Rhinolophus ferrumequinum: one gene and its partners. The protein of the gene in region 3 purifies or fractionates together with the protein of the main gene of each other region. This does not show direct contact. Links are inferred from orthologs where the notes say so. Each region holds a gene or a part of one and is shown on either strand. Other genes may lie near its edges. The genes, in order: EIF3H, EIF4G3 and EIF4A2.

Region 1 (11,025 bases), on a different chromosome or scaffold from region 3:
TATTTCCAGCAAAGTTAGAAGTACATTAAAAACTTTAGTTTCCATGACAAAGAGAATGGAGAATATATTGTTGGGAAACAGGGTAAATTTATTCTATCCACTAAATGAATATCTACAGTGAAACTAACACCCACAATATCAAACTGCCTTTTGTCGGGAGGCAGAAATACAACTTAACGGTTATGACCAACCTTCTTTGCGTGATTGAATATATTCAGTATTCTACTTCAATCTATTATTTTAGAATATTAGATCATTTAGTTTATTTAATTTATTCTGCATGCTTTAGGTTGATTTTCCTCTTATTTTTATAAGATCTTGAAGTGGGAGTATAGGTTATTGATTTGAAACATTTCCTCTTTTATAATGAATGCATTTAGCTATAAACTTCCCTCTTGGCATTGATGTAAAAATTTTGACATTTTGTATTTTTATATTAGCTCAGTTCAGTGTGTGCGTATGTTTGTGTGTGTTTAAATTGCCTTTAAGACTTCCTCTTTGAACCATGGTTTATTAGAAGTATGTTGTTTAGTTTCCAAATATTTGGAAATTTTCTTGTTACCTTTACATTTTGACTTTTAGTTTGAATCTATTGTGGTTGGAGAACATATTCTGAAAGACTTCCATTCTCTTAAATTTGATGAGATTTGTTGATGGCTCAAGATATGAACTATACATTCTATGAGATTTAAAAAGAATGTGTTGGTTGGAATGTTTTATAAATGTTGATTAGATCCTACTGATTGATGTTGTTGCTTAGTTCCTTTATATCCTTGCTGGTTTTCTTTCTAGTTGTTCTATCTAGTTGTTGTTGAGAGAGAGGAATTGACGCCTCCAATTATGATGACTGTGGATTTGTTTATTTGTCCTTTGAGTTCTATGAATTTGTCTTCGCGTAAGTTTAGCTTTTTAGCTGGGGCATACACATTTAGAATTGCGAGGTATTTTTGGTGATTGACCATCATATCATTTTAAAATGTCTCTCTCTGTTTGTGGTGATTTTTCATTGCTCTGAATTCTCCTTTATCTGATACTAATAATGCCCACTCCTGCTTTCTTTTGATTAACGTTTGCATATAATTTTCCATCATTTTACTTTCAATATCATTGTATTTGAAGTGAGTTTCTTTTAGACAGCCTATGGTTAAGTCTGAATTTATCCATTCTATCAATAGTTGTCTTTTAGTTGGCATATTTAGAACATTTATATTGACCTAATTATTAATATGTTTAGGCTTAAGACTGCTATTTTTTTCTATTTATTTTTATTCCTGTTTTCTTTTTATTGCATTCTTGTGGCTATTGAATAATTTTTTTTAAATTTCATATTGATTTATCTGGGATATTTTTGAGTGTATCCCTTTGTAAAGCTTTTTAGTGGTTTCCTAGGTATTATATTAGATTTGAATAACTTATTACAGTTAAGTCATTTTACCAGTTAAAATGTAGAAATTTTACCTTCCTGTCCCTTAACCAGCCTCTTTTAATAATGTAATTGTCTTAAATATTTCCTCTACATACATTTAGAACTATACTAGATACTTATAATTTTTGCTTTAACCCTAACCTCCTTTAGGAAATTCAAAAGGAGGAGGAAAGTCTATTGTAATTATCCATATTTTTGTTTATTGTGAATTTTCTTCCTCAATGATGTTCCAAGGTTCCTTCTTTTATTGGTTCTTTTCTTTTTAGAAAACTTCTTTCAGTCATTCTTTTAGGGCAGGTCTGCTAGTGCAAATTCTCTTAGTTTTTCTTCATCCAAAAATGTTTTCATTTCCTTTTTATTCTTTAACAATATTTTCGTTGAATACAGGTTTCTGGGTTGAGAGTTCTTTTTATTTTAGCAGTTTAAAAATATTATGCAACTTCCTTCTGGTCTCGTGGTTTCTGATGAGAAATCCACTTTCATTCTAGTTGATTTTCTCCCATAAGTAAGGTGTTGTTTCTTTCTGGTTGCTTTCAAAAGTTTTTCTTTGGTTTTCAGAAGCCTGACTCTGATATGTCTTGGTGTGATGTATCCTGCTTGGAGTTCACTCAAGCTTCTTCAATCTGTAGGTTATGACTTTCTCCCTAGTATTTGAGAAATTTGCAGTTATCATTTCTTCAAATACCTTTAACCCATGCTCTCTTTCTTTTCTCTTCGTGAGACTTCCATGCCAGGACAGCTACAGTTTTTTCTTATAGTTCCACAGTTCCCTAAGACTCTGTGGATTTTTTTTTCAATCCTCCCCTTTTTTTTTATTGTGGTAAAGTAACATAAATTTTAACATTTAAAACCTTTTTAAGTGCACAATTCAGTACCATTACATGCATTCACATTATTGTGCAACAATTCCCACTTTCCCATCATCCGAAATTGAAACTCTACACCCATTAAACAATAACTCCTTATTTCTCCCTCTTCCCAGGTCCTAGTAACCATTATTCTACTTTCTTTCTCTACCAATTTGACTATTGTAGATACCTCATATAAATTGAATCACACAATATTTGTTGTTTAGTGTTTGGCTTATTTCATTTAGCAAAATGTTTTCAAGTTTCATCCATGTTGTAGCATGTATCAGACTCTTGTTTCTTTTTAAGGCTGAATAATAGTCCATTGTATGTATACATTGTATTTGGTTTATTCATTCATCTGTTAAAGGACATTGAGTTGTTTCCTCCTTTTGGCTATTATATGCAATGCTGCTATGAACATTGGTATACAAATACCTGTTTGAGTCCTTGCTTTCAATGCTTTTGGGTACATACCTAGACATGAGTTGCTGGATCATTTGGTAATTCTAAGTTTAATATTTCGAGGAACTGCCATACTCTTTCCCACAGTGGCTATATCATTTTCTATTCTATTACTCTTTGTACAGGCTGGGTAATTTTTATGTTCCATCTCCAATCCACTGATTTTTTTACTCTGTCCTTTCCATTTTGCTGTTAAGCCCATCCACTGAGTTAAAAAAATAAAATAAATATAAAATAAAAATAAAACATTTTAGTTACTGTATTTTTTTAAGTTCTAAATTTCCATTTGGTTCCTGTTTATATTTCCTATATCTTGGCTGAGACTTTCAATTTCCTTGCTGAAATTTCATTTCAAGTATGTTTGTAATTGTATGGTGGCTGCTTTAAAATATTTTCAGACAATTCTAACATCTCTATCATTTCAGTGTTGGCATCTATTGATTGTTTTTTTTCATTCAGTTTGAAATCTTCCTGATAGACTTTTGTGTATTCTGTTCAGGAACTTTGGATTTTGAGCCCTTCTATTTTAGCTGGCTTCCTCTGACACAGCTCTGGCAATGGAAGGAGGGAGTTCTTCCTGTTACTGCCCTATGAGGGAGCAAATAGAAGTTCCTTGTTCAGCCTCCATTGACTCCCTCAGGTGCAAGAATAGTTTCCCGTTACTGGTGGGAGATAGGAGTTCCAGCTCGCAGTAGGCCTCCACCAATACCTTCTGGATGGAAGGGGTAGGAGTGCCTTCTTACTGCTCTCCACGCTTCCTTCATGGGGTGGGTGGCCTCCTTACTGCTGTGGTAAAATCCTGACTCTCCACTAGGCCTTCTCTGACATCATTCCATTGGGGGGATGAAGTTGCTGTTTCATTGCTGTCTGGTGAGGGTGAACGTTCAAACTCCTTACGTGGTCTCCACTGACAGTGCACACAGCGAACAGACTTTGGCTGGGGGTTTTGTTTTTGTTTGTGCCTCTTGATGTTTCCATGTTGCTGGACTTCAGCTCCAAGTATGGGATGTATGTGGCAAATAGGAACCCTGGGAAATCACCACTGTGTTGTTCTTTGGGTCCCAACATCCCCAGCCAGTCTTCCTTCGTCCCTCCACCTTGCAGAGTCTTCTTATTTTTCTTTTATATGCAATGTCCAGGGATGTAGACGTATCTACTTACTGGGAGGAGTAGGAAAAAATAGCTTTTCTTCTTCCCACAGAAAAAGTCTAGATTTTGCATACATTTTAAGATTGAGCCTACTGGAGTTTCTGATGGATGGGGTGAGGTGGGTAGGTGGGTGGGTGGTTGAGAGAAACAGAGGAGTGAAAGATGACCCCAAGAGTCCTGGTCTTATCAACTAGAAGAATAAAGCTGTCATTAAAAGAGAGGGGAGAAGACTGGGTGAAGAACATTTCTTTTTGTCGGCAGTATTTGGAGCTCAATTTTGGAAAGGTTAAGTCGGAAGTGCCTATTAGACATTTAACTGGGAATGTTGAATAAGCAGATGGAGATGCTGGTGCGGAGTTCAGTGGAGAGGTCTGAGGAAATATAAATTTGGGAATCATCAGCATATGCATGAAGTTTAGAGCCTTGAGAGTGGATGAGATCACCATGATGGGGAATAAAGATAAGGGAACAAAGATGTATAAGGACTGAAATCTGGTGCTGTTCAATATTTAAAGGCTGGGAAAGAGTAGAGAAATCAGCAGTTGGTGATTGAGAAAGGAACAGCCAGTGAGATAGGAAGGAAACCAGGAAACCAAGTGAAGGAAGTGACATTGCTTCTAGCCCTTTCCAGTTAGGGTGATCATATTGATTTTCTATTTCAAATTCTACTTCATGGGTCTTCTTCTCTCTTCCTTCCTCTGTCCCTCCCTCTCTCTGTTCAGATGTTCCTGGACTGACTTGTGATGGGGTTACTTCCGAATAAACCCATTGTAAGTTGAAAATATCTTAAACCGAACATGCATTTAATACACGTCACCTACCTAACATAGCTTAGTCTAGCCTATCTTAAGTGTGCTCAATAGCCAAATATCCAAAAGATGTTGGCAACACCGTACATCGTAGAGTATTGGTTGTTTACCATCGTGATCATAAACTTGACTGGGAGGTGCATCTTGCCACACTGCACAGCTTCATAAGAAAGCATCATACTGCATATCATTAGCCCAGGAAAAGGTCAAAATTCAAAATTTGAAGTATGCTTTCTACTGAATGTGTATCACATTTGCACTATTATAAAGTCAAAAAACATAAGTCAAACCATTGTGAGGTGGGGACCATCTGTATTTGTACCTCTTGGCTCTGGACTATTTCAAGCAGAAGGCCCACATGCACTTTTTTGGGTCAGGTTAAAAGAACCTATAGTGTGATTAGCACACATGACTGGAAAATCTTAGTGGGATATTTCCAAGGACAAAAATATTGCAAAGAAACTTTAAACTTTACTTACCAGTTTTATTGTTAGTGGTAATATTGGCGTTCTAATTTTGAAACAAAACTGTTATATACGCTGTAGGATAAAACAATAATTATTGTTTGTAAATAACCTGCTTTTTTGGTGCTCATCACTCCGGCTGCCAAATGATAGGCACTAATTTCCAGTTCTGGTTCTTCCATGATGGATTTTCTTCGTTTTTCTTCTTTTTGACTATCTTTCTTTTACTGATTCTAGTGTGATTCTACTATAATCAACCTTCAACACTTCAAAATTTGTTGAGATGGTCCCTGTGACCCAGGTTGTGGTCTGTTTTGATAAAAATTTCATGAGCACTTGAAAAGAATGGATATTAACTTTTTGCTTTGTAGCATTAGGAATTTTTGTCAGGTGTAACTGTTCCTGTTTTCAGATTGTAATATAACACCAGACCCTCACAATAAAAAATCTTCAGGGCAAGAAATAGCCTTCATTGGTATAACCACTTCATCGGTTCTGCCTAGGTATTTATTGAATGAGTAAACATTTCAAAAATAAGGACTAGGCACTGTATTTGGAAGTGGAGAATGTTTTAAATTCATCTAAGATGGTTTTCTAAAACTGTCAAATTACTCTCTTAAAGACTTGAGATGTGTATTTCAAACTGTGTTAGATAAGTCAGCATGATTTTTAGAAAATATGTTCCACATCACCACTTCACATAAAACAACTTCTTGGTACTTATGTACATCCTACATGAAACTAATAGCAGCAAAGGGCTATTAGTTCTGGTAATTGTGATCAAAGTTTCTGTTTTAATTAATTTTTATATAATCTACGTAGAGACCGCTATCTAAAATTACATAAGACAAACTGCAATACCGCTTAGGGCTAATTAACAGAATGATGTTGGATAAATCGAGTCTCACTTTCCTAATAAGTGTAATGGGAGTTAATACAGTTCATGGTTTATAAGATTGGGAATGGGGATTAATCAAAAAATTAGAAGTGAAAGCATTTTTACGCATGAGACCTTATATAAATGTGATCTATAATGCTATTATGATCAGTTGCCAACATGAAGTGGAAAACATTTTTAAAAGTCTACTTTCTTCTTACAGGACTCTAAGGGGAAGCCGCAAGCGCACAATGCGCGTGTGCAAAGGACTCTGTTGTGGGGAAAGAGGTGAGGCTGGCAAAGATGGGAGGCGGGGCCCTACGCCAGCTCTTTCTCCCAGCTCCGCCCCTCGAACGCCAGACTGCGCACGACGTCACGAATCGCTTGTACTTCCGCTTCCGATTACTCACGTTTCTCTCTCTTCCTGTCCGGCTGGAAAGATGGCGTCCCGCAAGGAAGGCACCGGCTCTGCTACCACCTCTTCCAGCTCCACTGCCGGCGCGGCAGGGAAGGGCAAAAGCAAAGGCGGGTCCGGAGATTCGGCCGTGAAGCAAGTGCAGATAGATGGCTTGGTGAGTGGGGTTCCGTCTCCTCCGGCCCACGTGGGAGCATAGTTCCCACGCCAGTCCCGCCTGAAGCGCTCCCCGGCAGCTTCTCCTCTAGGCTCGGTGAGGCTGGGCCAAAGTTGTCCGCTGAAACCCTCGTTTTTCATCTTCACTTTTGATCGGGAGACGCCACAGCCTTCTGTGCCATCTGACGGGGAAATAGAGGGAACAAGGCGAAGGGGGTGTGTGTGTGACAGATTCTTGGGGTCTTCTTTTGTGATGCTTGGCAGAGGGGATTTGGAGAAAGACGTCTCTGGAAGACGAGTAGGTGACGGAACTGTCGAGAAGGAACTAGGACTCTAGGGCTTTGGGGAGGGCAGAGGAAGGTAAACGAATGCTTCCCTGCTGGAGTATGACATCTGTAACTTCCCAAGGGGAGATTGACTTTGTAGTCACGTTTGAGCCTATCGTTCAGAGCTTTACCTGAAACAGCATAATTGGAGTAAACATCTGTTATGTTGGTTTCTTCTTTCCCCATCTGTGAATGTTGGAGTGCCTCAGGATTTGGGTTTAAGCCTCCTTCTATCTGGTCTCTGCTGGACATACCGTAACCAAGGACTGTAGTTAAAAGCACACCTCTGGAGCCACACTGCTTGGGTTTGAATCCCACCTCTAATTAGCTGAGTGACATTGGGCAAGTTAATGTCTTTATGCCTCATTTTCCTCATCCGAGTTGTTTTGAGGATTAAAATTGGCTGAACGTGTCAATAACTAGCACGATGTCTGGGACATAGTAGGTTTCCACTTCCGCTTAGCTGCTGCTGGTTTTTGTCGTAGTTATAGTAGTAGACTCTCTTTAAGGACCCTCCTGGTGGCTTTCCGTATTTATATTCTGAATTTATATTTCTTACCAGATTTGGTTGTTGAATGCCACTCTTGAATACCCAACTGCCTGCTTGACATCACTATTTGGATATCTTATAGGCTCCTCAAATTTAACGTGTCCGAAATAGAATTATTGACTTCTTCCCCTCACTCGTCTCTCCCGTTCATTGGTCCTACCTCAGTCTCTCCCACCTTAATAAATAGAACTACCATCTACCCATTTGAATAAGTCAGAAAACCTAGGCATTCACCTGCATTTATTCTTTTTTTTTACCCTCAACATCCAGTCTCAGCAAATCCTTGGGGTTTCACCTTCAAAATACATCAGAGTCGTCTGCTTCTCATCTGTGTGCCACCAACCATATCCACTTAAAAAATAAAATACAGACTTCTTGCCACAGTCTTCAAGGTCCTGCTACTCCTGTCTCTTTCTCCACACTCACCTCATACTTTCTAGGCTCCAGTCACAATGACCTTTCAGTTCTTTGTTTTCTCTGTCTGAAATAGTCTCTCAAATATTCCTTCCCTCTTGGTGGCTTCCTTTGATGCTGTAGGTCTCAGCTCAAATAACACCATCTCAAGAAAGGCTTTGCCTGACAACCTTGTTAGAAGTAGCCTCCCCCCGTCACTCTCCATCACACCGCCCTGTATTTCTTTCATTGCATTGTCCACTGTCTGTAATTGTCCTGTGTGTCTCCCCCACCAGAATGAGAGCTACTGAGGGCAGGCAGAGACTATGCTTTTGTTACCTGTAATTCCCAATACTGAGCCTGTTCACTGACATAGATAGGATAAATGAATGAATAAAAGATTACATTTTATTTTTGTACTGCTATTAGTTTATGTCCTGATGCTTTTCTTTGATCAATTATTTTAATGGTACCTTGGATTGTTGTCTTAGCCCTCTTCAGTCCATCCTTCATACTTTTATTAAAACATTGACTTAATGTGAAAGTTCACATCTTACTAACTTCCTTCCTGAAATGTTTTCAGTGATTTTGCATTGAGTTCAAGGCCCACCAAGATGTTGTCCTCCTTTTTGTGTTTAGGTTTATTTCCTAGTTTTTCCAGGCTTCCTAGGAACTGTGCATTCTAGCCACACACAACTATTTGGTAGACCTAATGTTTAACCTCATTTGTTCCTGGCACCTTGATAGTGGCCAAGACCAATTTTTCTTGTATTCTTGAACCTTTCCTACCTTTGGTCTTGTGTCATCATTTCCTCTATCTTTAGTATTACCTTTGTCAGGACTTTCCTATATTAAAATGTTCAACTCTGTCTCTTTTCTTGGCACTCTCTGTTCCATTCTTAATCCCCACTTTTTTTCCTCTTGAAGTCAGTGGTTACAAATCGTCTATATTGGTCGTCTTCCATTGTTTCTTTAATTCACTGCTATTAGAATCTGCCACCACCTATTTCCTAACTTAGTTTTTGAAAAGATCATTCATAACATTAGCAAAGTGTAAAAAAAAAAAGTCAAAAATATATCATTCATGCAAAGTAGTGTCTATAATACATAACTTCAATAATCACAATATAGCCAGTCACCTGCCATTTAGTTTGAGAAATAGAACATTACAAATATCTTTGAAGCCCCTTTCCCTGTTTCATCCTTTCCTCCCATCCCTTCTCCCCACCCTATTACTCTTCTGAGCTTTGTTTCAGTGGTTTCTTGGTTTTCTTTATAGCTTTACCAGTGTATTCCTAAACAACTTGTCTAGGTTTGCCTATTTATATTAATAAATATGAATTAAATCATAGTATGTTCTCCTGTGTCTTGAGTAATATGTATACATATACAGTAGTACTTCGGTTTTCGAACGTCTCCGTTGATGAACCTTTCGGTTTACGAACGCTGTAAATCTGGAAGTAAATGCTTCGGTTTTCTTGGAAGTCGAACATGTTACACAGCTTCCGCTGAGTGCAAGATCCCAAGGCCTAGCTGTCGGCTGTTTTCAAACATTTCTGAACTTGAACGGTCTTCCAGAATGGATTACGTTCGAAAACCGAGGTACCACTGTATCACACCATGGTTGAGATTGGTCCATTTTAGAGTGAGTAGTTGTAATTTATTTTCATTACAATATAGCATTTCATTGCATGAATATGTGTAATTTTCTTCATCTGACTGTTAATGGACAATTACATGGCTGTTTTCCTTGTGTGAAATTGTATCTCACAATCGTAACTAGTCCATTCTATTAGACTTGTCAGTGTGTCTTCTGCACCCTGTGCAGAGTCAGTGCCCAGTATATCCTTATAGAATGGAGGAGTGGATCTTCATTGTATGTAGTCAAATGGTCTCATCGTTCCTAGACAAGATCAAGCTAATTCTTCCTGTTGAACTTTTCATGTAAAGCCCGCTTTATTCCCTGAAACCAGTTTGACTCTTACGTTTCTTATTATACTTTTGATACTCAAAGTATGGTCCATGGACCAGTAAGACAAGCAGAATTGGCCTCCCTTGGTATCTTGTTAGAACCGTGGAAATACAGTGTCTCAGAATTCCAACCTGCTGTATCACATGATTTATAGCATATCATGTTAGAGAAGTACAGCTCTGCTCCACATTGATCTCTCCTTTCTCTGAACTTTTTATGATGACGTTTTGTATTGTTCATCTTGGCCTGTGATCATATACTGTTAATTAACACTTTACTGTTTATGTAGTTTTTCTCACTGAGGTGATCTGAAGGCTAAAGTGTAAAACATTTCTGCCTTCCAAAGTTCCACTGCTTAAAACCCATGGCCATCAAAATCTACTACTTTTACATTTTCTTTTCCCTTTATGTAAGAAAGTTACCTCCTCGTTTACAATTGTTAGCTACCTGATTTCTCCTTTATTCGAAGTAAGGTAGAGAGTGCTATTAATAAATGAAAAGGTCAGAGTTACATACACTTTTTTGTTATTCAGGTGTCCGCTCAGATGTCACCTCACAGGTACCTTCTGACTAATCTAAAGGGGCCCCATCAGTTCACTGACCCTTATATCATCTTGTTGGGCCCTTGATACTGTCTGAAGTTCTCTTGTTGTTGCTTGTTTGTGTTCTCACACTTAAATATCTACTATCCGAGAGGACCAATCAATATCAGGTTTGTTCACTTCAGTATTTGCAAGTGCCTAGAACAGTGACTGACACATGGAAAGCACTCATACTGTGAATGAATTATTATAATACAGTCCTGTGGTACAGAAATTTTCTTGAAAATGAATCATGAGGAAACATGGTTAGTAAAATGCTTTGTAGAAATTTATATAGTCTGTTGGTGAGAAAGGAGCACAGGAGTGAGGCTAGAAGACCAGTTAGATTCACATTTCTTCAGCCTTTTAGGTGTCAGTGTCTTATCTGTAGAAAAATCACTAGTGTTAATTGAACATCTACTATTGAGAAGATCCTGTGCAGGACGGTTTGGTTAGATTATGTCTGATCCTCACACCAGCTTTGAGGGTAGATTTATCTCTGCCCTACTTGCCTGATGATTATTTAGATGTAGTAATGAGAAAATGTTGGTGGAAGTGCTTTGTGAACTGAAAAGAATATTCAAATTTGTAAAG
Region 2 (10,348 bases), on a different chromosome or scaffold from region 3:
TGAAGGACAGGCTAATTCTGCCCAAGTTGGATCAGAGAATGGAGTGCTAAGGAGTCAGAACATGGTAACTGTGCTCCATCCTTTCCATTCTCCCCTAGCTCCCGTGACCTGTGTATCCATAGCATTTATCATTTTGTTAGTCAGTCAACAAATATTTATTTGGCACTCCAATAAGTGTTTTCTTTTTCAACATCACCAAGGAATTCTCAGACACCTGCTGGGTGTCCTACAATTTAACTCAATTCTGACACTGTCTACCTGAAGATAGCATCAGATCCCACAGGTTAAGGGCTCAATCCTACAAGACTACCTTCTCCTCTTCAGTTGTAATTCCACGTTGTCACCTGTGCTGGCTAGAGATCAGAGGTTCCCACAACCCCCTTCTTGGATTCTATTTATTTGCTAGAGAGGCTCACAGAACTCAGAAAAGCATTTTACTTACTAGATCACCAGTTTATTATAGCAGGATATAACGCAGGAGCAGCCAGATGGAAGAGATACACAGAGCAAGGCATGGGGAGAGGGGTGCAGAGCTTCCATGCTTTCTCCCAGGGCACCATTTTCCCCAGTATTTCCATGTTCACCAACCAGGAAGCTCTGAGAACAGTGTCCTTTTGGGTTTTTATCAAGGCTTCATTACGTAGGGATGACTAATCATTGGCCACTGATATTTGAACTCAATCTCTAGCCTCTCTTCCCTTCCTTCCCCTAAGTCAAGGTCAGTGGGTTCCCCTGGCAACCCCCACTCCTAGGTGACCTAAGGGCTTATTAACATAAGACACGTTTACTCCAACTGAGAACGGAAGAACAGCCGAGGGTTCTGAGCACAGAAGTTACATGATCTTAACTTTTTGATGTAAAATAATTATGGGGAGTATTGAACTTGTAGGTCCAGTTACCTATCTCTCTTCCCCATTATATGTGCTCTCATAGTCCTTTCTAGGGGCCCAACCCAGTGTCTGGCACATAGCTGTCTCTCAATAAATGCTTGTTTAATGATTTCTGAAGCCTGGCTGTCACTCCAGAAGGACGCACTCAGGGGGAGGAATGGGCAAGGCTTGAAATGGGAAAAGACCAGGGCGTGGCATCCTACTTCTTAATGAGAAGATGGTATCAGATAGAGAATCACCTTGGCTTAGCAGTGAAGGGAGAGCATGAGTTTCAGTCCTGGTTCTGCCGTTCACTTGCTTGAAATAGGAAAGAAGGAACCTGGTTCTGCTGTTCACTTGAACTTGAAATAGGAAAGAAGGAACCCTTTCCTATTTCTGGGTTCTAGCCTTAAACCTGGGTGAGTTAATCCCTAAGGCATCTTCAATCCTGACTAGAATCCATTACAATATTTTTTAAAAATTGTGGTAAAATACAAATAACATAAAACTCATCATCTTAACAATTGTATGATAATATTTTTTGCTTCCTCTTGCCTCCTGGTGAAGCTGAATTCTCTGTAGCCATCAGGCCTGGTGGGGGCTGTGGTCACCTCCAGGAATAGCTGAGAAATGGAAGGTCCCTCTCACTGTGGGCAAAAGGCTGGGATCACCTGGTCTAGAAGTGACAGTCACAGCGAATTAGAGAAGCTACAACTCTGCCCTGGAGGGAATGGGGAAGCAATTAAGCTTTGTTGCGGGGCTTACTATGTCCTAGGCCTCTAGGCCCCGGAAGTACTCTCTACAGAGATGCTCTCTACAGAGAGCCCCTTTTAAGTCTTGCTTTAATCCTTTAGAGGCAGACCTCCTGCTTTCATTTTGCAAATGGCTCAAAGTTAGGAAACTTGTTTAAGGTTGATCAGCTAGTCTGTAAGGTTAGAATCCAGATCTGTCCTAAAGTTTATAAACTTTGAAAGGAACCAGCACCCTCACGTCCAAAAGGCGGAAACAACTCAAATGGGGTCTGTGAGCTGGCGCAGCTCTTTACTGAAGAGCATTAGTGGCTGATTACAATCATGCTTCCAGTATAGGGAAGGGGGCAAAATATTTCTTTACTTTTTCCACTTGGGCTTCTCTCCTCCTAGCCATATCCACTTCAGATGGGTGCCCTGCAGTCTCTCCTTCTTTGGTTTTTCTAACGTTTCCTTTTTATTTTTTTTAACCCTCTTCGTCTTCCACGTCTGTGTCTTAACTGCCTAGAGTCTAGATCTTGGGCCACTAAGGCCTTGGGGGATGTTGGCTTGTCTCAGAGTGGAGGACCTAATAATATATAAACCCTCTGTGGCTATTAGAGACGGCTTCTGTTGGCATAGCAAGGGTTGTCTTTATGCTAGAATGCCAGTCCCCTCTCCCCCTACCTCCAACCAGGAGGAAAAATGAAGGGGGCAGAGCACTCCAGCTTGTAACAATATTTTCAAAAGTTCAAATTAAAGAAATTCAGGGGTCCCCCGACTCAATCTCCAGTTCAGAGAAACAGAGCTGTGACCCCACGTGATCACAGATAAGCAAAGCACCGTCACCCAGCCTTGAGGAGATGTATAAACCAAGTCTCCACTTGTCTGCGGCTCTTCGAATGAAGAGGGAGAGGTATATTTATTTGGGGGTTAGGGAATGTAGGTCTCTGCTGGAGGCAGCCTGGTGGGCTCTGGGAACAGTGGATGGCTGGTTAAAGATATTGCACTCCTCTGTGGGCTAGCATGGCCTGCTCCAGGATACTCTCGCCCTTCTTTCTTCTTGCACAGTGAGGCCCAAGACTTCTCCAAGGTAACATGAAATCCTTTGGCAAGTCACAATGATTCTGTCCTTCAGCAAGTTTCACATCCTATTAATTGACTGCTAGATATCAGGGATATATTAGTTGACTAAGTAATGTTCCCCTGTAAATGAATAATAGCTAAAACGTATACAATAATTACTATGAGCCAGGGACAGGGCTAAGCGCTTTGCATTTGTTGTCTTAATTCTCATGCTAGGAGGTAGAGTCTCCATTTTACAGATGAAGAAACTGAAGCTTGGAGAGTTAAGTGATTTCGCCAAGGTCATACAACTAATAAATGTCAGGGCTGAGAATCAAACTCAGGTAATTTGATTCCAATGGCTGTGCTCTGACTCGTTAAATACTGAGAGTGCCCTGAGAGCTAAGCACCCACTGCCAAGGGAGCTTAGAGGAGAGGTACCTCGTTCAGCCTGGGGAGTGGGGAAAGGCTGTCTGGAGGAAGTGAGGTCTGAGCCAAACAGGAGCAGGAATTATTAGCCAATGGGCAAAGGGGAGAGAGGATAGTTTGGGGTTACAGGTAGTAGGAGCAGTCTGCAGACAGACCCTAGGGCAAAAAGGACCAAGGTAGCTGCAGCTGTGGATTTGAGGTGGAGAGTGACAGTAAGGAAGCAGAGGCCAGATTCTGAAGAATCTTGAATTTAGACTGGATCCTGTTGGCATGGAGGCTGTCAGCTGGCAAGTTCACAAAATCAGCTCTGCTTGTTGACTGTGCCTCTGGCCACAGTGGGGAGGTTGCTTTGTTGAAGGCACATGGCAAACCAGACCTGGAGTCAGATGCCTTGGGTTTGAATACTAGTGTTTCTACTTAAAAGTATTACACAAGTTACTTCTTTACATTGTTGAGCCTCAGTGTCTTTATTTGTAAATGGGATATAGTAATACCTGAAAAGTTGTTGAGGGGAATGAGTTAATCCAAACAAAACGTTTAGCAGAGTTGTACACTGGCAAATAAGTAGGGGTGCAATACATCTGAGCTGCTCTGTATGAGAGGGGTGGTGTTGAGCAGGGCCAGGAAAGAAAAGAGCTCTGCCTTTTCGACTTTGCTCCCTATGAGCCACCCTTGATTGCTTCTAGCCAGAATCTTATCAGGGACTTTTACAGGATTTTGCCCAAGGCCTATCCGTTTTAAGAGAGATAATGCTCATAAAGTGCTTAGCAAAGAAAGACCAGGCACACAGTAATTGCCAGATGCTTGTACCTATTATTAAGTTAGAAAGTGAAACTAGCTCAGAAAATAACAATTAAGCAATTATCAGTCTGTTGTCACCCTAGTGTAAATGAGAAGCCAAATTCTTTTCTGGGAACAGGTTTTATTTGGGATAAGGAAGTCTGAGATCCCAGAACATGCAAGGAGAATCCTGGGAACTGAAGGACCACTTGGGACTTTTTCCTGGAGCTGGTCAGAGAAGAGCAGCAAATCCAATCCTAAATCATCAGGTGTTACAAATCCAAAGGGTTTGAGGAGTTCCTGTCTTCTAGTCTGGAGATGGGGGACAAGGCTTCCTGTGGATACCGTGCCTGAAAGATGCGGTGGGGGGTTGTGGTATCACTCTCTTCCAGATGGCTCCTTTCTCCCCGAGGGAGGAGCATTCGGGGCTCAGTTAGGAGAGATTTAATTAATTAAGCACCCACTGTGTGTAGAGCTTTATGTGAATTAAAAAATAAAAATAAAAAAGGAAGTCAGTGTGAAGCAGGAGTCAGAACTGGACTCTAATTTTGTGTCCGCCAACTATACTCTCCACATGACCCTGGGAAGGTCTCCTGTGCCTTTGGGCTTTGCTGTTAAACGATGGCATTGAGCCTCGGTATCTTCATTTGTAAAATGGGTACTAGCTATTTCACAGAACTGTGTGCGATAATGAATACGGAGTGCTCAGTGCCTGGTGACCACCATCACCTGATTCCTCCCTGCGGTTCCTTTCCACTCAATGGTCCTGTGCCAGGGACAGGGCCCATGCTGGGGGAGGGTCGGGGGGGCGAGGGTGTGGGAGGGTCTTGGTTGGTCCCTTGGTTGGGGAGAAAAGGAGCTTATCCACAAGTGTTACCCTGGCATAGGACACTGGGGAGCTGACCACTGGCTGCTGGTCAAAGTACGCTTCAGTCTTGGGGTCAGTCCTTGGAAGACTGCATCCACAGAACGCTCAGTCAAGGTTGCTGATTAGATAAGGCGGGTCGGATCAGGTCCCAGGCAACTTGGGAGGCGGCAAGGTTCATCCAGATGAAGGGAGAATTCAGATGCAGGCTTGGCTCTGTCCTTTCCTGGCTGGGTGACCTTGGGCCAGTCACTTTTCCTCTCCCAATCTGTGTGCTGGGGAAATGGCACTCCTCATTTCACTTACCTCTCAGATTGTACCAGGATGAAATGTCGACATAATGGACGTGGTGAACTGCGAATAAAGGCCAGTGAGGGCTATTTGTTATGCTAATAGGCGCACACTGTCAGTTTCTATCCAGCGGTTTCACTCTGGTTAGGCGGTTCCTTCCACAGTAACCGAGGTTCCTCGCCTAACAGCTCCCGCCCCTGCGGGCAGGGCTCTGCGGACCGCAGGCTCCTGGGCCGTTACCATTGTTCTTCGGGGCTGGGCAGCAGGGGAGGACTCTCGCAGACCAGACCTTGCTTTTGGTCTCTCCCTCCGCCCCGCACCCCCGCGGCAGCGAGCCTCGGAAGCCCCCTAGCCGATCTTTTCCGAGGAAGCGAGTCAGCCCCAGAGCGCTCCCGAACGGCGGCCGAAGACGCCCCCGAGTGTTTCCGAAGAATCCCGACCACTCTCAGTCTCCGGAAAGAGCCGAAGGGGCTTCCCACCCTCGGCCTCCCGAGCCACTCCGAAAAGGCCCGAAGTTTGCCGAGCGGCCGTCCTGCCGGACTGCTGGAGGCGGCCGCAGCGCCATGTTGGATGCTCTGCTCGTTGAGTGAAGAAAATCCGCCGGCATCGCCTGAGCCCCGCTACCGAGAAGGGCGCCGCTTCCCCCGGGGAGGGGGATAAAGACCCCCCGCCGCCGGCCCATGAGGATATTGCCGTGAAAGGTCCGGTCTCTCCGCCTCCTGCCCCCGCCGGGTCCGGCCCCCCCCCCGGGGTCGCGTTGTCACGGAGACCGGCAGCCGGTGGTGCTGGCCCGCGGGGCGGCTGCTGCTGCCGGCGGCGGCGGCGGCGGCGGCGGCGGCGGCGGCGGCGGCGGCGGGCGTGTGTGACCGGCCCCGGCCCCCTCCTCCTCCTCCTCCCAGCCTCCCCCCGACCCCCCGCTCCCGCCGCCTCCCCGGGTCTGCCCCCATCCCGCCCCCCCGCCGCCCCCGGCCCCTGCACCCCGGCGCGCCCGGTCCCGCTCTGGGGGGGTTGGTGGCTTCGCTTTGCCATGAGTTTACCGCAGAAACCGGCTCTGAAATCAGGCTCAGCGGCTGCAGCAGGAACCGGACCCGGCACAGGAGCGGCGGCGGCGGCGGCGGCGGCAGCGGTACCGCCTCCTCACCCGGCGGCGGCAGCGGCGGCGGCGGTAGCGGCCCCTCCTCACCCGAACATCAGGGCCCTCCAGACCCAGGCGCCCCAACAGTATCCTTTTCACGTACTGCCGGCCCTTCGGCTCTTCGCGGCAGAGCAGGGGGGCTGTGGCCCCGCCGGGGACTCGACTGCTGGCTGCCACAGCCCAGCCGGGCAAAGGGCTGCTCCTCAAGCCCGGCCGGAGCTTTTGGGGTGCCCCGGCGGCGGCACTGCGGGGCTTCCCGGGACCCTCTGCAGTACGATGAAAACTAGCTCCACTCGGCCTCGCCTCTGCAGCCCTTCCCTTTTAGAGCTGGGGGACCCTTCCTCCTTCTCACCTCTCCGCCCTCTAGCCCCCCCCAGCCCCCCTTTTATTAGGCAAATTTACTGCCTGGGGCCTGGGACCGACCCTGCGGGGAAGGTTTTCCTCGGATTGTTGTAAGGACTACACCCTCCCCGTCTCCCTTCAGCACCTCCTGCAACGGGGCATGGCGGGCCCCTAAGTAGTATTAATACATAATAAACTTGATTGGTAAATTTCCTGTTTGAAACTAATCAGCTCGTTTCGGAGGTAAGTTGGATTTTCAGTCTGCGGGGAGAAGGGACAGAAATCACTCCCTCCGGCTAATATTTTGTAGCGGTTGGGGGAGTTGTGATGTGGTTTGTGGTGGAACGCGATCTAAGGAGGAAATGTTACACCGGACGCTTCCCTGTCTTTGACCTTTTTAAAGGAAGAGGAAGTTAACTGACATTACCCATCACCCCCAAAAGTCTCGCTTCTTGAAAGGCTTGTGTTATGGTCAATATTTTTAAGAGCTTTAATGTACTCTTCATAGGCCCGATGTCTAGAAGGGACCAGGGATCCTGGAGTAAAGTCTAGTATGGCCTGTATCTAATTTCATGTTATTTGCTCGATTGTAGAGTGTTTGGACAGCTTTGATTGAAAAGATTTGGTAAGGAGGTAGTTCAGTCCAAAACTAGCGGGTGAAAGTGAAACTTGGAGTTCATCGTGAATTCCAGGGAGATTTAGAAAGGTGTTTACCTACCTGAGAAGAACATTTCATCATGCTCCCCCCCCACCCCCCACCCCCTCCCCCGCCATCCGCTGTATTTGTGTAAATCAATATATCGTTGGATGTTAGATGTGTTGTGTTTTTGTATTTGTGTCATCGTGTGTTTGACTTTTAGAGTGAGGATGTTTGAGCAAATAAACTTAACTGCTGTGAGTTCCACAGATTATTTCCCAGTGTGGTTTGATTCTTGTCTGTATCGATTACTTTCAGAAGGGAATGGCATCACCCTTCTAGAGTCATTTCAGGTCATCCTTTTGGTTTCTATCAAGTGTCCTTTTCTCTTGTTCTTTAAATACTGTGAGTCCACATTTTTGTCAGTCCAGGCAGTGTGGCTCAGAGTAAAGATAAATTCCATTCCAGTGTGATGTGTGTACTGATTTCACAATGTTTTTACCCTGCATGATTCTGTTCAGTTAAGAATTGTTCACTGATGAGAATGCTTAGTGATAACTTACTGTTACTTTTGATCAGTATTCCTGTTGTTTTCCTGTTGGGGGGGGAAACGGCCTACATCGTGGTGGAGTTTAGTGCTGCATTTCTTAAACATATCTTCACTTAATGCTTTGTGAGTTTAAATTCCTTTCTAATTTGCCTTTTTATTTGTCTTGATTACCCATACTTAGTTAGGGCTGTAAATTTCTAGACAGTGCTCTCAAGTAAATTATTCTTTAGCCGCATCTTTGAGTTGTTTGGGCAATTAAACAAATGAAAGGAAGCCTATAGTATGTGTTCTTGATGTACAAAGTGAGAAGGGCCATGATGCTGAATATGACAGTGCTTGGTGAATTTGGTGGTGCTCTTTGGACACAGAGCTGTGTTTCAAGTATGCTTTTTCTCCATGCATTTCACAAAGGAAGGGCTCATAAAAGCTCTGAGTTGGTGCAACAGAAAAATTGTGACTGCAAAAGTTAAAGAGGATAAATTTAAGATGTAACTTCCAACGGAGATAATTTTTAAAGCTATCTGTGGTAATATATGACACTTGGTTTTATGTGACTCTTAAGTTTTTACTTTGCCTCAGGTCATGGAAGCTAAAATTAATTTTCTTCTTGAGGTATTTCACAACCCTGTTATCTTCTGTTTGCTTTACACACTGAAAGGTTACGATGGCTAAAATCTAAATGTTTGTATAGTAAATGAAATACAGTTTACAGAGTTCATTAGAACATACTAGAGCGGTGAAATATTATCAATGGTAATAGGCATTTTGGTTAAACGTGGATTAAAACAGAGCAATTTTGTGTACCCAGAGGGAGTGTGAGAGTTTGTATTTGATGACAGCAGTCATCGTGTAATAGGTTGATATACATTGAAGCATTGAGACGAGTACAGAGTTGGAGTTGCTCTTTCTGTGGCTTAATTAAATCTCCATTTGTGCTTGAATTGAATCAGTAAGTTCAGATAGTATTTTAAATTTGTACACATACTAGAAGGGGATTCACGTGACAAGGTGTCCTTTATTTGTACTTAATGTTCAAGTGACAAATCAGAAATGAAGGGAGATGGTAGCGATAATGACTTTGCATATAAACTGCTTAAGTGGCATCAGTATCGCATGGCAGGCCCATAAGGCCATTCTGGTAGAAGCCTTTGACTGCAAAGAGGCAAAGGATGGGGGGGGGCGGTGAAAGAAGGAAAACACTGATATGAAAAGTGCTAATGGCAAGGGAGAAATACGCTTAGAGTTTTCATAGCATGATCCAATATGAATAGTTCATGAAACTGGTCCTTCAGAATACTTGCCTTGAGATATGCTCACCCTAGCTTCCCAACGTGAGATTCCAAGAGGCTCTGTTGAGAATGTTAAGAGTGATTCTTAACCTTTTCTGGGTAACAAACACTTTGACATTTTGATGAAAGCTTATAGACCCTCTCTGCAGAAAACTCTCCCTGCACAGAAAATCTTGCGTACATTTTCAGGGGGTTTTTGCACCCCCACTCCATAAACAGCCTAACCTTTTAGATGGAAATTGCTTACCCTTCAGATAAGTAAAGATTAATGAGTTTGAATTTAGGTGCCCAAATAGTTCTGACTTAATAGAACAATTTTGCAGTCTGTTATGAATACACAGTGTTCTCTCTATTTATATGGAAAGACTTCAGGGTGTAATTTCTCTCAGGGCTGCTGACACTTCTGGGGAGTCTAGTTACTGTTTTGGGGCAGCCAGTTTGATTAAGAAAATCAGGGCAGTGGGTTCTTTGAAGGAACTAAATTTGGTGAAGGCCTGTAGTGACCTAAAAATGATCTGTGTCCTCAGTTATTTTGTTTTAGGTATGGATATATTAAAAACAAATACTCCCCCCTTTTTTTTGTATGATAATTTTCTTTTTTATGTTTTCTGTGTTGATTTTCAGTTTTATCTTATTGGCTGAAGCCAAGTAATGTTTGCTTTCTTCTTTTTTGTCTGTTTACCGAAGCTAAATCTGAATATTAATAGTAGTATCCATTTAACGAGCACCTATTGTTCTAGAAGCCATACATGTGTGATTTTATTTAATTCTCACATGAACCCTAATGAGGCAGGTACTACATATATTTTATAGATGAGGAAACTGAAGTGCAGAGAAGTAATGTTCCCAAGGTTGTCCATCTAGTAAGTGGTGGTCTGCAGTTCAGACCTTGATACGACTGGCTCCAAAGCCCATGACTGTTCTTTTTACTGTGCCATGCTGTACCGTACCAAGGCTGCACGTGGGAATGGGAGGAAGGGTACTTTGCCTATTTGATAGCTAGGGGAAGGTCTGTATACAGCTAAGGAGCTCTGTGGAGTAATCTAGAATGCAGTGATACTATACCTTGTTTTAATTAGTTCATGGCCACATACCGCTAGGCAAGTACGTTATCTTTACCGCATTGAGCCTTAAAGCACAGGAATAGGTCTGCCTCGTTTGGTTAGTGCATGTTTCTGCTTGTTTAGAAGTTCAGGCCTTCAGCAAAATACCATTATAACTACCAACTAGACCTTTGTAGCTCATGTAGCGACCAGCAGTCTGTCTACTCCTAAGCTCCACCATCAACAATGATGGATCTGCACTCCTAGGAGCAGGTCCTCTTCTAGGAAAGAGAGGGCACCAATGTAAGATGGAGAGAAAGAAGGA
Region 3 (10,680 bases):
CTCTGTATTTTAAGAGAAAAAAGGGATGGAGAAAGTGGCATAACCTTTACAAATTAAATCACATAATACATTATTTAAAAATAAACTTATTGTTAGCCATTTGATAAAGAAACACTCGTATAATAAAAAGTAATCAGGCCCTAACATATCTTTTATACGTATCTTTATAAACGACACATGGTTAGATTTGCTTGAACCGGAAGAATGACATCCATTAGTCTGCTAGAGCTGCCATGACAGAATAGCACAGACTGGGTGGCTTACACAACAAACATTTATTTTCTCACAGTTCAAGAGGCTGGAAGTTCAAGATCAATGTGTCTATAGGTTTAGTTTCTCCTAAAGCCTCTGTCCTTGGCTTGAAGACAAATGCCTTCTTACTGTGTCTTCACATGGCCTTCCTCTGTGCTTGCCTGCCCCTAGTGCCTCTTACGCTTCTTATAAGCACACCAGTTCTATTGGCTTGGAGTCCCACCTTTATGACCTCATTTAACCTCAATTACCTCTTTAAAGGCCCTATCTCCAAATACAGCCACACTGAGGGTTAGGGCTTCAACGTATACATTTTGAGGAAACACAGTTCAGTACATATCAGATTGTAATTATTACTTTAAAAACTATGGATGTAGTATTTGCCACTAGTACAAAAATGAAATAAACTGAACAATAGTATGTCAAGTAAAATATAAAATTTTCCTCTCATTTATGGATTCCCTCCAGAAGAAATCAGTTTCTTTCTAGAAATGTTTGATTGAAATCATTATAGATAAAACAACAGGGAGCTCCCTTCCCCACCCCCCCATAGAATGCGCCAAGGAAAGGTCATGTGAGGAGATGTGAGAAAGCTTCCATGTGTCACCCAAGGAGAGAGCTCTCACCAGACACGGACCCCGCTGGCACCTTGATCTTGGATTCCTAGTCTCCAGAACTGTGAGAAATAAATTCCTGAAGTTCCAGCCACCCAGTCTGTGGTCTTTTGTTATGGCAGCCCAAACAGACTAAGACAACATTGTTCTCTGCATAAAACTATACATATATCCATCCATTTTTAACACAAATAGGATCTTACTACACAAATATAATGTTCTTCAATGAGCTTTTCCCATTTACTATACATCTTGAACAGCTTCCCTTACTGGTACATACAGATCTAGTGACCTCGTTGTTTCCACTCTCATTTTATTGTATTAGGATCCAATCCATAATACCATGTTACCTTTAGCAGTTAACTAATTAATTAATTCATTTATTGATAGATATTTGAAATACAACTTTATTCTGATTCTAAACAAAAAGGAATGGGAATGAAAGTAATAAACAAGATTTCACCACTGAATATTGTGTAGCAGTCTTGCACTTGAAACTCAGGAAGGAAACAACTGCGTTCCAAAACAGCTGAATATGCAGGTCCCAAAAATGAGGGTCTTTTCTTTAACTGCCACATTCATTCCAAAGCCCATTCATCTCCTTTGGCATCCCAAAAATTAAGCACATGTTCTGCTTAGCTATTTAATAAAGTGGCAAACAAGCAGCACCACTGACATCACAGGACAGTTGCCTATACCACTAGACTTCTGATGTTGGGCTCCAGCTTCCCTTTCTCACGGGTCATCACCCTCATCTGGGAAAGGAGTTGTCTGAGCAACCTCTAGATCATGCTCACATTGGGCTGCCAAGGCTGAGTCCATGGCAACCTCTGGTGGGGCAAGAACAGGCATGGCAACCAACTCCAAGTTGGGGTCTCCATGAGTTTTCTAGCAAGCCAGAGGAAGGGTTTGTCAGAGTTGTAGTTACTTTTGGCAGAAAGTAACTGAAGATTCTTCTTTTGGTGGAAGATAATTGATTTTGCCTTAACTTTTCTGTCCATAATAGCTACTTTGTTGCCACATAACATGATGGGATGTTTTCACATATTCCTACCAGATCTCTATGCCAGGTAGGCACATTCTTCTAAGTAACTCTCAAAGTTACATCAAACACTTTAATGGCACACTGGGCTTGGATGTAGTAGACATCTTTCCATCCACCAAATTTCTCCTGACCAGCTGTATCCCATACATTAAACTTAATAGGTCCTCTGTTGGTATAGACACACGGATATGAACCTCAAGACCCAAGGTAGCTACATACTTCTCAAATTCACCAGTCAGATGATGTTTCACAAATGTAATTTTCCTAGTCCCATTATCACCAACCAATACAAATTTGAACTGAACTTGGGGTTCTTCTTGGGTAGGCATTATCTCTGGGCCTCTCTGACTAAGAGCTGGAAAGATTGTGGAAGCACCTCTATTTTTTAATTAAACTTTTAATTTTTGAGATAATTGTAGATCACATACAGTTGTAAGATCAGACATGTACTCTTTCCCATTTCCCCCAATGGTAAGTAACATCTTAGAAAACTACAATACATCACAACCAGGATATTGACAGTGATATCGTCAAAATATGAACATTTCCCTCACCACAAGGATGTCTCTTATTCACCTTTTATAGCCACACTCACTTCTGTACTGCCCCACCCCCTCCTTAAACCCTGGCAACCACTAACCAGCTCTCCATTTCTATAATTTTGTCTTCTCAAGAATATTATATAAATGAAATCATGTAGTATGTAACCGTTTGAGATTGTTTTGTTTTTTCCCCACTCAGCATAATAGTCTAAAGATTCATCCAGGTTGTGTGTGTATCAATAAACGGATCCTTCCTTTTTATTACTTAGTATTCCATGGTATAGATATAATCACAGCTTAACCATTCACCCATTGAAAGACATGTGAATTTTTCCAGCTTTTGGCGATTGTAAATAAAGCTGCTATGTCCATTCATGCACAAATCTTTGTGTGAGCATACGTCTTCATTTCTCATATGCCCAGGAGTGAATGCCCAGGAGTGAAACTGTTACATCATATTGTAGTTGCACATTTAGTTTTTTGTTAAGAAACTGCCAAACTGATCCTAGAGTGGCTGTACCATTTTATATTCCCACTAACAATGTATGACTGATGTAGTTTCTCGGCATCCTTGCTGGAATTTGGTGTTGTCACTATTTTTTATTTTAGCCATTCCAGTAGATGTATAGTGATATCTCACTGTGGTTTTTATTTGCATTTCTCAAATGGCTCATAATGCTAAACATCTTCTCATGTGCTTATTTGTCATCTGTAAATCATCTTCAGTGAAACGTCTTTTCATGTCTTTTGCTCATGTTCTAATAGGATTGTTTGGTTTTTACGAAAGGAGAATATCTTTGTTTTTAGGATGCAGTGCTGAATTACTTTATTAGGAATAAAATGACACTACTATGTCTGTGACTTTCAGAAAGTTAAAAAAAAGTCATAGATAAATATAAGAGAGAGAGTAAATGTATTAAACCGTTAACAGTTGGTAAGTGTAACAAGTACTTGGTATCCACTGCTTTATTCTTGCAACTTTTCTTTAAGTTTAGAATTTTTCAAAGTAAAAAGCTGGCTCCACCTCAGATCAGATCTCCTGAATCTGGGTGGGAGTGCAGAGTCCACATGTATCTGCCTTTCAAATACATCTCCCCTTTGATTTTTATGCATACCAGTTATAGATGTACTGAATTGAAGTACAGTAATGTATTTTTATTTTAGTCTTTATAAGGGTAAAGCTAGAAAAACGTCTAATCATATCTTGGTTACACAATAGAGTTTAATAATCTTGAATTAATGGATTTAAACTCAGTCTTTACATAGCTCAAGTCCTTTCCATGGTCCTCTTCAATTTTCTCCATTTTCTTCAACTCTATTAAAATCTTTACCTATTTTTATGTAAATGGCTTTAAAAGTTATTGTAAAGCACATGACACTGAGTGTCACCCTCCAAATTGCTTCAGTGGACACTGCCTACATTCAAGCACAATCTAGCCTCTAATTTCCTCCAGCAACTGAAAGAGATGAGTAGTACTACTGTCTTTATCCGGCTCAAGGCAGTTCTTTTTAAACATTTAAATTATAGATGGAGGGACAGCATGTATTATACTAGGTGTTTGCTAAATAATAAATGACATTAATAAGTAATAAATGAGTTGAAGATCCAAAACACATACCTTAACAAACTTTTGCATATCAAAAGCTTATCAAGACACTGCTTTAAATGTACAGCTATCACTTCAAATCAATTGATGGACTTGAAATAATGTGAGAACCTCAAGATGGCACACAACACTCCCTGAATGATGAAAATACATGGTATTTTCTATAGAAAGATGTCACTAACAACATAAAGCATACTCTTAAAGGTTTTGTTATTGTTTTTCCATGTCATACTGACAAATTTGTACTAATTCCTTGATTCATTTGGTGACAATTGGCTTACAATTGCTAGATGGGTTTAGGACTGTCAGCTGATGATACTGAAGAGCAAATCTAAACTAGGGGGGCTCACATAAGGAAGGAATCTGATTTTTAGCATCATTTGAAATATAAATGGCCTCCAGACTCCAGGTTAGCACCAAAGCATTTGTGGTTGTCTCCGAGAAGGCTATCTAATTTCAGATCTCAGTTAAGTAGAAAAATTTATCTCAACGGTACAAGAGTATGCTCTAAATTGATTTGCAAAACTTGTGTATGTTTTAAGTCTTTAACTCATTTATTACTTAATGCTATTTAGTAAGCAAATACAAATGTGGTGAGCACACCATTCATTAGAAATACATTGTAGGGTTGCAGGCTCTGGATTTTGACTGAATTTTAAATTATGAAACTTTCTTTCCTTAAAACAACTTGAACCACTGTGACCTAAACCAGAGATTAGCCTTCGATTATTTCCTCTTAAGAGACTCTGGAAATCCTCCACAGCTTGCAATGGTAGTGCTAAACCTAAAACACTCAACCATGAGGTATTAATTGATTTCACCCTATGACTGAGTGATTTCACCCTAAAGACTTAAGTGAGACTAAATGGTTGGTCACTTTCCTGATTTAGTATTTTCTCCACTTTGTTAGATCCCAGAAGATTTTTCAGTAGGTTTTACATGAGACAATAAGGATCTCTGACTTCCTTTCCTAGAAAATGTCTGGCATTACCTCAAATCTGCATTTCAGCATTACAGGGGGATGGATAGCATCACTAGACTGACAGCCAAGTCCACTTTGTGATCATGGTATTAGTTTCTGTCACAGTTCCTGGCACGATAATAATTTTCAAATAAATAAATTAATGATTTAAAAAATACATGTGGTATTTATAACCAAATATATCAAATATGATATACAAATGTAGAAAATTAAGCGTCAGTTTTTACAGTTATCAGACTTTTGGTTGGTCTTCCGAATTAATGAGAAAATGTTTTCCTGAATATTTGTGATGATATCTTGCAGCATGTGTAGGATTGTATTTTAAAGTTAAATGACTAAATACTAAATACATTTTTTTTTTTTTTTTTTTTTACCAACAGGCCTCGGTTAGAGCTACAGTTGAAAACTTCAAGGAGCTTAAAGAATCAGGCAGTTTATTCAAGCAGCAAGGGTTGTGTTGCTCTCATCTTCAGCAAATCAATATTCATAATGTATAAGCAATTAAATTCAATTTGTTTAGTTTTTTTAATGACCAGAGTCAAAACCTATCTAGTCCCAAAGCAGCAAGGAGCTGTATCTGTCAGAAGCATCCATTTAAATTCTTGCGTTACAAGGAAAAGTAATCCTCCTTAGCTATTATATGTTTGCAAAAGTTTACAATGACTTTATCAGGTATTCCTCACACCTGTTAAAATTATTAGCATTATTTTAAAGAGCGAGAGAAGACTAGAAGCAACGTGAGAATCGAATTGTCTACTCCAGAGACATTTGCAAATGACACACGGTTTTTCTCGCCCTGCACAATACAGGGTAAACCCGGTTTTCTGGGACGTGCTAGGTGGCCGACATTTTCCCTAGCAAGAGTTTCACACTTTTACAATCGGAACGGATGTTAAACGCTCGGGCTCAAAGCCAAGCGGCTCTTTACCGTCTGACTAAATAACCTTTCCCCGCAGCTATTTAATCGGGCGGAAAAACCCGATCTCCCTCTAGAGCAGAACGTGGAGGTGCCTGCCTCTCCGCACCAAGCGCCAGCGGCGAAAAATGAGCCCGGGCCCTCCTGCCCCCGGGGACGCCCGGGCCAGCCAGAGTGCAGCGCGCCTCGGGCTTCCGCCTCCCGGTCCTGCCCGGCTCCCCGGGGCCGCCTCTGCTTCAGGGACGCGGAAACCCCGTAGGAGCAGGGAGGGAGGGGAACGCGGGTCGGCGCCGCTTGCTGCAATATTCTTCCGCCGCCAAGCAAAGAGTCCCATCCTTCTCCTACGGTCCTGGGATTCCCAGCGTCCCTGTAATATCTTGACATAACCAACTTGGATTTTCCCACCGACCTTCTGAGGACACTTTCTGAGGTAAGGACACCAGGGCCACAATTTTGTGGCTAATGAAGAACGACGAGAAAATTCCTCCGCAGAAAACGGGTTCCGGCCACGAGCCTATAAAAAACGGGTGGGGCGGTCTGACTGTCTTTTCAGTCGGGCGCTGAGTGGTTTTTCGGAACATGTCTGGTGGCTCCGCGGATTATAACAGGTACAGGGCATTTTCGTTGGTGCTGTTTTGTGGTGAAGGTCAAATGGCGCCAGAGGAAATTGTAGTAGCTGGCGTGGAGTCAGGGAACGCCGGGTTCATAGGCATTTCCTTGGGGTAAGGTACCCCTGTGTCCTTCGAGAAGCTTCCATGATGGGTAGAGCCCCTGAGCGAGGGGACACGAGATAAGGGTACGAAAATGGAGTGGTTGAAGGGTGTCTTTTTTTCCTGAAGATCCTTTTAGATCTCGGCTGCTTCCCCTGCCCGTACGGAGCCCGACACTTAGTTAAAGCCGTGGCGCAGTCCGCATTCGGTACAGTGTAACCGGGGCCCAAAGCTTTATTTGCAGCGAACCGCGCGATTGAAATGTTAGACTGAAGGTGGGGTGCGGGGAGGGTGACAGCGGCGCCCACTCGCCGCGGCCAAAAGGCGCGCTGGGACCAGACCAGCAACGGGGTCTCGGCGAGCCGTTGGCATGGCCTTCGCCAGGCCTCGGCCCGCGTCAATCACCCCGGCTTGCGCAGTGTTAGGGGCGGAGCTCAGCGCGTGGACCTCTCGCGAGACGGCCCGCCGCCGAGACGGCAGCACCTGGCGCAAGGGCTTGGGGGAAAGCCAGTGTCCGTGGGGCCTTGCCGTCCGTCCTGCGTTCTCAACCTTTGGGCAGGTGCACAGTAAATTATGTGCCCTGTGCCACCAGCTTCCATTGCTTTTTTAGTAGGAAATGCACACGTGCAGGAGGAGGGTAACCTGATAGACTGGTTGTAAAGGGCTATCCCCTCATGTGCAGTTAGGATGGCTTGTTAATCTAACTGCAGTGTTCTTTGCAGAGAACATGGCGGCCCAGAGGGAATGGACCCCGATGGTGTCATCGAGGTAAGAAATTGTGTGTGGATTTTGAAATTCTGGAAAGGTGAGTTTGTTCATACTATTTATTTTTACTTATTTTTAATTTATAGAGCAACTGGAATGAAATTGTTGATAACTTTGACGATATGAATTTAAAGGAGTCTCTTCTTCGGGGCATCTATGCTTATGGTTTTGAGAAGCCTTCAGCTATTCAGCAGAGAGCTATTATTCCTTGTATTAAAGGTAAAAGAACTCGGCAGTTTAAAAAAAATTCATTGTTTTACATAGACCTGCACCATAAAAGGGAAAATAACTTCTGGGGGTCTAGCACCTATTTGTATTCCTTAAAGTGAAATGATGGCAATCATCTTTCGGGACTGACCTGAAATGAAGAGAATACTCATTGCTGATCACTTAATTATTTGGGCATAATTCATGTTCCAAATGGAATACATGGTGTGAACTAGAATTGACTTTTTGATGTGGGATCGGTAAATATGTATCCTACTTTTTTTAGGGTATGATGTGATTGCTCAAGCTCAGTCAGGTACTGGCAAGACAGCCACATTTGCTATTTCCATCCTGCAACAGTTGGAGATTGAGTTCAAGGAGACCCAAGCACTAGTATTGGCCCCCACCAGAGAACTGGCTCAACAGGTATTGATAGTGTAGTTCAAAAAAACTGCTTGCGTGTTGCATAGGTTCAAGTTTCACAACTGAAAAATTTAAAGCTTAGTATAAATTGGTCCTATCAGAGCCCTCTTAACTGTCCGTGCATGCAGGGAGTTTTTGTTGAAAGTAAATAGGAACTGGGTGTGCAGGTATGGTTCACAGGGTTATAATGGAGAAACCAAAGCTTTCTGTTTAGGGTGGACTAGATTCCTATTTTTTTGAATGCAGTTGTGCAACATGAAAACTGCAGTGACATGTTATCACTTGACTGTCTCAGTTTGTGATGCATCTGGTGCACGATGTTTTCAAAGCTCACTGCTATCTATATTGGCTTTGAAGGAAACCTCGCTAATAAAGCTAGGCTTTGTTAAAGTCAAGATTATATGTTACTGCCCTGTGGGAAAAGTATCTTGTCTAGGTTGTAATTGCAGAGCTTGATCCCACTATTTACACCTTCCTACACAATGAAGAGTAACGAAGGAAATGTTTTTAGTTATAAATCTAGCTGGTACCTGGGGCAACAGGATCCTAAGTTTGACAAGGTACAAGAAGTATTTTAAGGGAATTTTACCTTGAAGCAGTTAGATCAGTCTGCATATTAAGCTTGGAAGTAGTTAAGTGTGTTGCATGCATAAAAGCTGTTTGCAGACCAGATATTTGCCATTATGCTTTAAAAGTTTAATCACAGCCTGTAATTCTGCTGGAAAATAATTAAGGCTCTTTGCTTTTAGATCCAAAAGGTAATCCTGGCACTTGGAGACTACATGGGAGCAACTTGTCATGCCTGCATTGGTGGAACCAATGTTAGAAATGAAATGCAAAAACTGCAGGCTGAAGCACCACATATTGTTGTTGGCACACCAGGGAGAGTGTTTGATATGTTAAACAGAAGATATCTTTGTAAGTACTGTCTATTGAGAGCGTACATTTTTTTTGCTATTATAAATAAACACAAATAGTATCCCTGAGAATCTAGAAGTGATAGTATGACTTTGTTTTTGACAGCTCCAAAATGGATCAAAATGTTTGTTTTGGATGAAGCAGATGAAATGTTGAGCCGAGGGTTTAAGGATCAAATCTATGAGATTTTCCAAAAATTAAATACAAGTATTCAGGTGAGCTTTACCTTTCACCCATATCTGGAGATTGTTTAATGCAGGTATTGTTACAATACAACTGAAGTGTTTTATTGTCGTTCCCCCTGCTTACAGCAATTGATGCAAAACTATCTCTGTCTAGCACAATTCCATAGCAAGACAGAGACGCTTGGTCTCAAACATGTTTTCTTGAATATTTTGAAAGTTGGGCTACTTGTGTGACAACATCATTGTCTTTTTAAGGTGGTGTTGCTTTCTGCTACAATGCCAACTGATGTATTGGAAGTGACCAAAAAATTCATGAGAGATCCAATTCGAATTCTGGTGAAAAAGGAAGAATTGACTCTTGAAGGAATCAAACAGTTTTACATTAACGTTGAAAGAGAGGTAATGTGTCTAATTAAACATAAAAATGTAGCCACTTTTTTTTACCTTCTTGTATAAGCACTGTGCTAAAATTGCAGAAACTGGGATCACATCTTGGTTTTTGCAATAATGCTAGCAGAGTACACACAAGAAGAAAAGTAACTGCACTAGATTGTAAAGACTGGGGTGGACCTCTTTCTTAATGTCCAGTGTCCTTTGTCTCAAGATTTGGTGCAATATGTCTAGACCGACTTAACTGAATTTCTAATGGCTGTAAGTTGGAAATTAAATTGTTTTAATGATTAACTTTTTCTTTGAAATATTATAGGAGTGGAAATTGGATACACTTTGTGACTTGTACGAGACACTGACGATCACACAGGCTGTTATTTTTCTCAATACAAGGCGCAAGGTGGACTGGCTCACTGAGAAAATGCATGCCAGGGACTTCACGGTTTCCGCTCTGGTAAGAGGTGTTCTAACCTAGTAATGGTAATTACAATGTGTATATTTTCATTAAAGCAGGATTTAGACTACAATATAGCTGTTAAGTGCTGTGTTGTCGTTCCCCCTGCTCAAAAAAAAGTTGTTTCTTAACTATACCTGTCTGTTAAACTCCTGTAGCAGCCAGGGACGCTTGGTCTCATACATTTCAGTAAAGTTAAGTAATACTGATTTGACTAGTGATTCTGGAATTAAGGTTTGTTAATTTGCAGCATGGTGACATGGACCAGAAGGAAAGAGATGTTATCATGAGAGAATTTCGATCAGGGTCAAGTCGTGTTCTGATCACCACTGACTTGTTGGTAAGTCTCTTAACTGCTGTTTCTTAATCCTACCAAAAGCTTTTCTGGGGGGAAGGTTTTTCAATAACCTTTACCAACTTGGACTGTTTGGGAGAATAAAGAAAAGACCACGCTCCACAGTGGACTATATCACTAAACATATAGTTCACTACTAATTTGTGGCCTACATTAGAGATCTCTAGTTATTTAATTAAATTTAAACATACCGTTGTATTTCAGGCTCGTGGGATTGATGTGCAACAAGTGTCATTGGTTATAAACTATGATCTACCTACCAATCGTGAAAATTACATTCACAGGTGAGTAGGTGGCACCTTGACTTACTGTATT

The links.
Region 1: the proteins of EIF4A2 (region 3) and EIF3H purify together in Homo sapiens (affinity purification with mass spectrometry; 3 studies listed by BioGRID and IntAct, with this or other methods). This does not show direct contact. The link is inferred for Rhinolophus ferrumequinum from reciprocal best matches to the Homo sapiens genes EIF4A2 and EIF3H.
Region 2: the proteins of EIF4A2 (region 3) and EIF4G3 purify together in Homo sapiens (affinity purification with mass spectrometry; 3 studies listed by BioGRID and IntAct, with this or other methods). This does not show direct contact. The link is inferred for Rhinolophus ferrumequinum from reciprocal best matches to the Homo sapiens genes EIF4A2 and EIF4G3.

Annotation. Positions count from the first base shown.
Region 1 is NC_046297.1:55,675,224-55,686,248, reverse strand, and holds the start of EIF3H (eukaryotic translation initiation factor 3 subunit H), read left to right. Parts: upstream 1-6,443; 5' UTR 6,444-6,478; coding exon 6,479-6,610; intron 6,611-11,025.
Region 2 is NC_046292.1:14,333,980-14,344,327, reverse strand, and holds the start of EIF4G3 (eukaryotic translation initiation factor 4 gamma 3), read left to right. Parts: upstream 1-5,945; 5' UTR 5,946-6,054; coding exon 6,055-6,248; intron 6,249-10,348. UniProt on the Homo sapiens protein: Component of the protein complex eIF4F, which is involved in the recognition of the mRNA cap, ATP-dependent unwinding of 5'-terminal secondary structure and recruitment of mRNA to the ribosome. Functional homolog of EIF4G1.
Region 3 is NC_046285.1:58,772,679-58,783,358, reverse strand, and holds the start of EIF4A2 (eukaryotic initiation factor 4A-II), read left to right. Parts: upstream 1-6,510; 5' UTR 6,511-6,537; coding exon 6,538-6,566; intron 6,567-7,378; coding exon 7,379-7,436; intron 7,437-7,519; coding exon 7,520-7,652; intron 7,653-7,756; exon of another isoform or gene 7,757-7,825; intron 7,826-7,926; coding exon 7,927-8,066; intron 8,067-8,812; coding exon 8,813-8,981; intron 8,982-9,086; coding exon 9,087-9,196; intron 9,197-9,234; exon of another isoform or gene 9,235-9,361; intron 9,362-9,421; coding exon 9,422-9,565; intron 9,566-9,608; exon of another isoform or gene 9,609-9,786; intron 9,787-9,872; coding exon 9,873-10,010; intron 10,011-10,063; exon of another isoform or gene 10,064-10,195; intron 10,196-10,260; coding exon 10,261-10,350; intron 10,351-10,379; exon of another isoform or gene 10,380-10,520; intron 10,521-10,569; coding exon 10,570-10,649; intron 10,650-10,680. UniProt on the Homo sapiens protein: ATP-dependent RNA helicase which is a subunit of the eIF4F complex involved in cap recognition and is required for mRNA binding to ribosome.